2 linked regions of the Schizosaccharomyces pombe genome follow. The protein of the gene in region 1 interacts with the protein of each later gene in a pairwise test. Each region holds a gene or a part of one and is shown in the gene's direction. Other genes may lie near its edges.

Region 1 (4,113 bases):
CCCAGTCAGAAACCTGGTCACAAAGCTTATTAAAAACTTCAGTTTGCGTAGTCAAATCAGTAGACCATTTATTAAGGATTTCCTGAAGAGTTTTGTGTTTGATAGAAGATGGAGGAGGCTCAGAAGGAGTAGTGGAGGCAGTAGCGCCCGGCTTGGCGCTGGGATCGGCAGGTTTATTACCAAAAAGGGGACCGGTTTTTGAAGTAGATGTTGTAGTATCAGTTGCAGGTTTACCAAATGAAAATCCAGAGCTAGTCTGATTCGCACCTTCTGCAGGTTTCGTATTGTTCGAAAGTGGCGGAGCTGAAGTTGCTGTTGTGCTAGTATTTTCCGTAGGTTTTGAAGTGTTTCCAAAAGAAAATGTTGGCTTATTATCACCAGTTGAAGTAGCCGGTTTTGTAAAAGCTGAGTTGGGAGCAGTAGGTTTATTAGTATCCTCTGTAGTTGCAGGTTTTCCAAAACTAAATCCAGTACCAGCTGAAGATGTGGTGGTAGTACCTTTGTCCGTTGCGGTTGAAGCTGCTTGGCCCGCAGGCTTACCAAAAGAGAAACCAGTAGTTGGAGCAGAACCAGTGTTAGATGCAGCAGGCTTTGAGTCATTGGTTCCCGTAATGGAGCTACTGGGGGTGACAGTAGTGTTAGATCCTGGAGCTGAAGTAGTTGCAGGCTTTCCGAAGCTAAAGCCTGAATTAGCAGTGGTTGAAGTGGATGCATTATTAGTAGAGCCTAAACTAGCAGGTTTTCCAAAGCTAAAACCTCCGCTTCCAGTAGCAGGTGTCGTAGAAGTAGAAGAAGCTGGAGGGGCATTGCTTGTAGTCCCTGTAGCAGCAGGCTTCCCAAACAAAGAACCAGTACTAGCGGCTGCCGGAGTCGTCGTATTAGTCGTAGAAGCGGGTTTACCGAAATTAAAAGAATTATTTGAACTTCCAAAATTAAAAGTACTACCTGAAGGATTAGTAGTTGCTGCACCTGTAGCAGAAGAAGCGGTGTTTTTACTTTTATCACCAGTAGAGTTAGCAGACCCGGTACTTCCTAAACCTCCGAAAAGAGGTTTAGCCCCAGCAGTATTGTTGGTATTAGTAGACCCAAACGAAAAAGGTGAACTCGTTGATGCATTTGTTGAGTTGCCTGTAGTCGCTGCTTTACCAAAAGAAAAGGTACTGGGAGCACTGGTGTTACTCGCGTTATTAGAACCAAATAAGCCTCCAGACGGCGCTGTAGAAGAGGTATTATTATTTGTGTTTCCAAACAAGCCAGTCGCCGCAGGAGTTGCTGCTCCTTGCGCAGCTGAATTCGGCTGCGCAGGTTTCCCAAATGAAAACCCTGAATTCTGGTTATTACCTGGGTTGAAAGCTATTGATTTTGTTAGCAAATTTTAATAAATTCCAAGGGACCAGCTTTGCCGCCTCTTACACTTACACATTGATTTGGGTCTTGCTGAAAGTTGTATCAGGACAGTGAAATGTTTATGGCGTTCGGTCACAACTCGGTGAATTCGGAGACGTCGGTAACCAAAACGGAGAACTGGGTCACCATTCGGAGTTTTTGGGACCTGAAGAAAGGGTCCACTGAAGCTCACCGAAGATACTTCTTTTACATAAGAGCGTCATCGAACGAGTGGAAAATACCTAACCAAACCCAACAACATGACCAATATATCGTTGACTATTAAGGCGGCAAATGATCAAAAGTACGCAGTTACAGTTGATAGTGAATCTTCTGTACTTGCATTAAAGGAAGCCATTGCGCCTGTAGCTGATATAGAGAAGGAACGACAAAGACTGATTTACGCTGGTCGCGTTCTGAAAGATGAAGAGTCATTAAAAACATACAAAATTCAAGATGGACATAGTATACATTTGGTAAAAACCTTAGGACAAAATCCTGCAGCCGCCGCCACGAATGTATCGGACCGCACTCAACAAGTTCCAACGAATATTCAAGCAGGTCAGGGTGCTAATAATCCTCTTGCCAATTTAACTAGCGCTCGTTACGCTGGATTTAATATCCCTATGCCATCAGCATCTATGTTTGGTCCTAATCCTGAGAATCCTGTTCCACCCTCGACCGAAGAGCTTGCCAATATGTTGTCTAATCCTATGGTGCAGTCTTCTATTAATGAGATGTTTTCAAATCCTCAAATGTTGGATATGATTATTAATAGCAGCCCGCATCTTCGTAATGCACCTCCTTATGTCCGTCAAATGATGCAGTCCCCTGAGTTCCGTCGCGCGATGACTGATCCCGACACAATGCGCCAAATGGCTCAACTACATCAACAAATGGGTGCTGCCGGTATTGACCCTATGTCCTTAATGGGGGGTGGTCTAGGAGGAGCTGGCTTAGGCGGTTTAGGTGGAGCTGGTTTAGGTGGATTTGGAGGGGCTAATAATGCTACAGCTGGTATTGCAGGTGCCGCACCTGTTGATCAAACTGCTGCTGCCAACACCATTCAAAATTTATTAAATAACTTGGGAGGAGCTGGCTTCGGTGCTGGTTTGGGAGACGCCGGTTTGGGAGCTGGCCTTGGGGGAGCTGCCTCTCCTCCAGCTCCTGCTCAAGATACTCGCCCTCCAGAAGAGCGTTATGCTGAGCAATTGAGCCAGCTTAATGAAATGGGCTTTGTGGATTTCGAGCGTAACGTTCAAGCACTAAGAAGAAGTGGAGGAAACGTGCAAGGTGCTATTGAATCTTTGTTGAGTGATCTTTAATTCCTTTGTTCGTTTCTAGAATATATCAATCAGGCTTATTGGTGTTCATATATTTCAAGGATAATACCCTTTGTATCAAGACTTCCCTCTTCCCTTTTTCCTTTTGTAATAAAATTTATACGGCCCAATCTTTTGGTGATATTTAGATTATTATGCCATGCTTGCAAGTTTTGCCAGATTTACCTGAACAAGACTTTTAGTGACTTTACCTGGAAAGTCATCGTACTCTGTTTTATCGCGATGATCATATTAATCGATTTGAATGAATATGTTTAGTCGTTTAATTTAAGTACGATGACGAATTCTATATATGCTTCTCCTAGATAGAAAGCTTACTTGTTGTGTAAAAATAAGTTTTTTCTAAATTGTCAGTTTACTTACGCTTCAGTGATTTATAATGTTCAATAAACGATAGCAGTTTTAAGATACTAAAAAAAAAGAAAAATACGTCTGTTTAACATTACAACTTAATTATGCTTATGAAAGTTGAATTTCAAATAATAAAATGATATAGACAAAATTGTATTAAGATAGTTTATCCTTAGTCCCAAAAACTAAATTCCAAAGTTCCGTCCGATGACAAGCGTATAGTTCAGCAAGTTTAAAAATCAAAAGTGACAATGGGCAAGAAATACTTTGAAACATCCCAGTATCGACGCTTTGCGCCTTTCCATTCCTCGTCTTTACTACTTACGGGCATGGATTCGTATGTACATTGAAGCCCGAACGATACAAGATCGATGGGGACCAATTTTTTGTAAACATCGTAAAATGTTTGGTTGTCGGCGCCCAATCCGTTAAAAAAGGAGAACTTGGAATCTGTTTCAGGATCTAAGAGACCAACAACTGAATCAAAGAAGTTTCGAAGATCTTCGTAGCTTTCTGCGAAAGCATCATAGTAGATGCCATCGAAAACGTATTTAGACGCAATGTCGTTAATAGCGTTCTCCCAAGTTGTCTCATATACAATCACATTTTCACGATCCATCCAACCGTTTTTACGCATATGTTTCAGAACGTCCGGATGGGGCTCAATGATCACATGAAGCGAAGGCTCCTTTTCCTGAAGGAACGTATCTATTATTCCAAGACCAAAGCCGACATTCAAAACACGGCGGCCCTTGGTTGGTGCAATAATTTCAGCAGAACGATGCATTATTTTTCGTTCCCAACTCATCATAACAGCGTTTGCATCACTATCCAAAAGGCTTGAACTGTCTTCTGTAGGTTGCGTATAGGAGAGTGCACTTTGCAAGTATTTTTCGTTAGTATCCAATTGTTCGTTTGTAAGTTCCTTCCTCTCTAAGAGAGAAAGTAATAGCTCTGATCGAACTCCAGCATCCACGATTGTTTCGTACAAGCGCAATAAATTCCTACGACGTGCAATGCATCCAGGAGTTTC
Region 2 (3,493 bases), on another chromosome or scaffold:
TAATTTATGAAAAATTTTCTTGGCAAGTGCTCCCATTTCTTGCTGTATATTTTCTAAAGATATTTTGCTTTTAGTTGAGTCAATCGTTTCTTTTTCAGAGACATTGTCAGAAAACTCCTGCTGGACTTCCTTTTCAATGTTAGTTTCATAGATGGGATGCATAGTCGTAGTATTATCAGGGTTCGTCAACTCCATATTTACTATACTATCTGAAACAATATTCTCTCCAAAGATACTACTCATTTTGGATCTTGAGGATGCTGGCAAAAGACAAGTTGAATGTTTGTTTACTATGGATCATTTGATCATTGCAGTCTGCATTTAGTCCACTGAGGAAAGTAAACAAAACTTTAAAATTCATATTTATTACTCAACAATGATTGTATTAGTATTATCTTGAACTTACAAAAATCTCACTGTATATTGCCAATTTAACTTGTTTACTTTACGAAACATCGCTAATAATGGACGCTAGTATACCTACACCTCAGTTGCAGTTCGCCATAAATTTCACCATTGAGAGTTTCTATACTAAGAAATAATATTTTCAAAGTTTTTATGAGTATTAGATGTCATTCTTATGAACAATTTGGAACAGTATGCAGTAAACTTGTCGCGACTGTAGATAAACATTCTCTAACAAAAGAATTAGATTAGAACGATTGGAACAATCGATTACTCTAGCACTTTACGAAATTGATGCAAATTTTTCTAAATGTCATCGAACAGTGACTACCAAAATCTTGCCTATCGTGGAAAAATACGCAAAAAATTGTAACACTATATGGGACTCTTCAAAAGTATGTTCAATGGCAACTGCCACTCATGATTCAGCTTGTAATTTGTATTATTTTAAGAATTAAGCTAACAGAAAACAGTTTTGGAAGCAGTTTTTTGAAGCAAGTGCCAATGTTTCACTTTCGGGTGTAGAGGAACCTGTTCCAGTAGAATCCAATCCAAGCGATCAAGATGTTATGTCTAATTCTACAGAGGCGGACCTACAGCTGCACACAAAGAATGAACATTTGGAAAAGAGGCATTCTTTTGTCGGAAAATCTGATTTTCCCGATGCAGCTGTACAAGGAGATAATACAAAAAACGAGGATTTTGTACAGTCCACTCCTAAGAAGATGGATGTCTCCTTAGAGGATATTTCGTTAGATGATGCAGCTTTGACCCCCATCCCGGCAAGGATGCAGACTCCGCTAAGAAAACCAGAAAATAATCCTCATACAGGTCGTAGTGCCCTTCTGCATCGCGTTTTAGATACAAATTGGCAAGTACAAGTGACTCCACGTGAGCCTAAGAATTTGCAATCTCAAGAAGTAATGGATATTGATTCTTCTCCTTTTGTATCGCCTTCTCCCATATCAATGAAAATGGACATGCCTTCACTTAACGATAGAAACTCTTCGCATGCTCTTTCTTTATTTGCAGAATTTGAGCATGAAAGCTATGATAGCATTAACCCAAGTGGAATGTCTCCACCTAAAACTATCCAATTCAGCCCGCATACCATGGGGGTGGGTTCTTCTCAGCAAGCCAACGAGCGAAGCCTGTCTTTGCAGAGGAAATTAGAAACCTTGAATGATTCTAATGATAGTTTTGTCAAAGAAGAAGATAGTTGGGAACTCTGATAAAGCACTGCTGAAGTTATCACCTTCGTTTCGCCTTTAGTAGTGAACCTTACTTTCGCATTTTTTCTATTTATTTTCTAAGCACATATGTCTACTTCATAAAATCCCACCTTATATTTATGTTATATAATTTTTTATTTACTGTACGTTCTATTTAATTTGGAAAATTCTTCTTTTAAGAGAATCATAAGTCACGGTATAAATACTGTAAACCAAGTAAAATTTGTATGAAAATAATTTTAAAATAAACTAAGAAAGCAAATAACTATAAAATTTTTAAATAAATTAGTATTATAGCCTAATTAATAAATCTTTTTACAGCATATCATTGAGAATATACGTTAAGACGAATAACGAGGTTTTAAAAATTCTAAAAAAGTCTAAAGAATTTTAGTGACTTGGTTAATAATAGTTTGCCTGGTTGAGCAGACAGGTGAACTTAGTATCCACCACTCTTTTTTGTGCAAGGAAAATGGGGTTTGACGTTGCAGGCTATTTACAATCATATTCATTGAAGGACTGGATTCGAATTATCGTATATGTTGGAGGATATATGTTAATCCGGCCATATTTGATGAAGTTGGGAGCCAAGATACAGGAGAGAGAACATAGAAAATCTTTATTAGAAGGCGAAGTAGATGGTACTTTAGATCCGGAAATGACGCATGGCACGAAGCCCAAAGAACATGGAGAATTTGACACGGATGATGAGGAAGAAGAAGAAAATCCTGATGCCGAATTCCGTTGGGGTTATTCAGCACGCCGCCGTATTCGCAAACAACGTGAAGAATACTTTAAGAATCAAGACAAATCTCCTCTTGATGCTTACGCTGATGATGATGAAGACATCGAAGAGCACCTTGAGGATTAATTCTAGTTGTGAGATAATATTCATTACTCCAAGCACTTTAGAAAACTTGTGTCATTTAGTTTGTTAATCATTGTTTTAATTTCTTTGTGAAAATTTGATATCCTTTTCTCTTGAAACCGTGACTGCATGGATGAAAGCAAAAGCTAATTAATTGAATGTAGGATTAATAATGCAATTTGAGAGTGCATTCTTTTCCTACGAGATCAACGAAAGTCCTTTGATTGTTTCTCCTTTTTCTTGCATTTTTAAGTCATAATATCTTTTCGTGAGCCAAGCTTTAATCAATCCCCTGTTAGGTTTAATTTCAGCGTTTAGATCAATTTATTTTTCTTTCCCACTCATTCCAGTATTTTGAGTTGAAATATTACGTATTCTAAATAATCCTTAAATGCTCTAACAAAATTTAAGTATTTGCGGTAATATTACGATAAACGCTATTAACGCATGCATATGGGTTCAAATTTGCTTATTTTGAGCTTGACATGTTACGTTTCGGGGTGGGCTCTTACCGTCCATGTTTCGATCATTTGGACGTTTGTTTAGGGGCTCTGAAGAGAGCCCTACTATCAATGATTTGACTTCAATAACCATTTATCCTCAATGTTTCATTAGTACTGGTAAAGAGTACGGTAGTGAACCCAAGCACATATCAGTTCATGTTCGCGGTTGGGTTTACGAGAACCCTGATCTCAATAATCTTGGTCGTAAAGATCGTTTAATGTTGAATTTACTTCGTAGATATGTCGGTCTGCCTCCAAAATCCAAAGAAACGGGAACATATCCTGAAAAGGATGACGAAAACACAAATTTGCAGGTTGTAGTAGACACGAAAGCTCAATTGAACGTGAACGTGAATGATGGAAAGCCTAATGATATTGAATTATCATCAACCTCTAAAACTGAGAATGATCCACCTTTGTCCCTGCATACGACTCCCGACGACTTACAGGGAAATGGCGTGAATGTACCTAACCCTTCATTGTCT

What was found.
Region 2: the proteins of dsk2 (region 1) and pga2 interact in a two-hybrid assay, tested with the Schizosaccharomyces pombe proteins (2 studies listed by BioGRID).

What each region holds. Positions count from the first base shown.
Region 1 is NC_003424.3:3,368,097-3,372,209, forward strand, and holds dsk2 (UBA domain protein Dph1/Dsk2), read left to right. Parts: upstream 1-1,630; 5' UTR 1,631-1,646; coding exon 1,647-2,711; 3' UTR 2,712-3,288; downstream 3,289-4,113. Other genes in the region: nucleoporin Nsp1, read right to left, coding at 1-1,353, 1,420-1,423; rmt2 (N-methyltransferase), read right to left, coding at 3,313-4,113. UniProt on the Schizosaccharomyces pombe protein: Protects ubiquitin chains against dissambly by deubiquitinating enzymes thereby promoting protein degradation.
Region 2 is NC_003423.3:1,560,652-1,564,144, reverse strand, and holds pga2 (protein trafficking protein Pga2), read left to right. Parts: upstream 1-2,072; 5' UTR 2,073-2,109; coding exon 2,110-2,508; 3' UTR 2,509-2,819; downstream 2,820-3,493. Other genes in the region: protein meu25, read right to left, coding at 1-243; DASH complex subunit Ask1, read left to right, coding at 581-597, 653-800, 879-1,637; app1 (actin cortical patch protein), read left to right, coding at 3,023-3,493.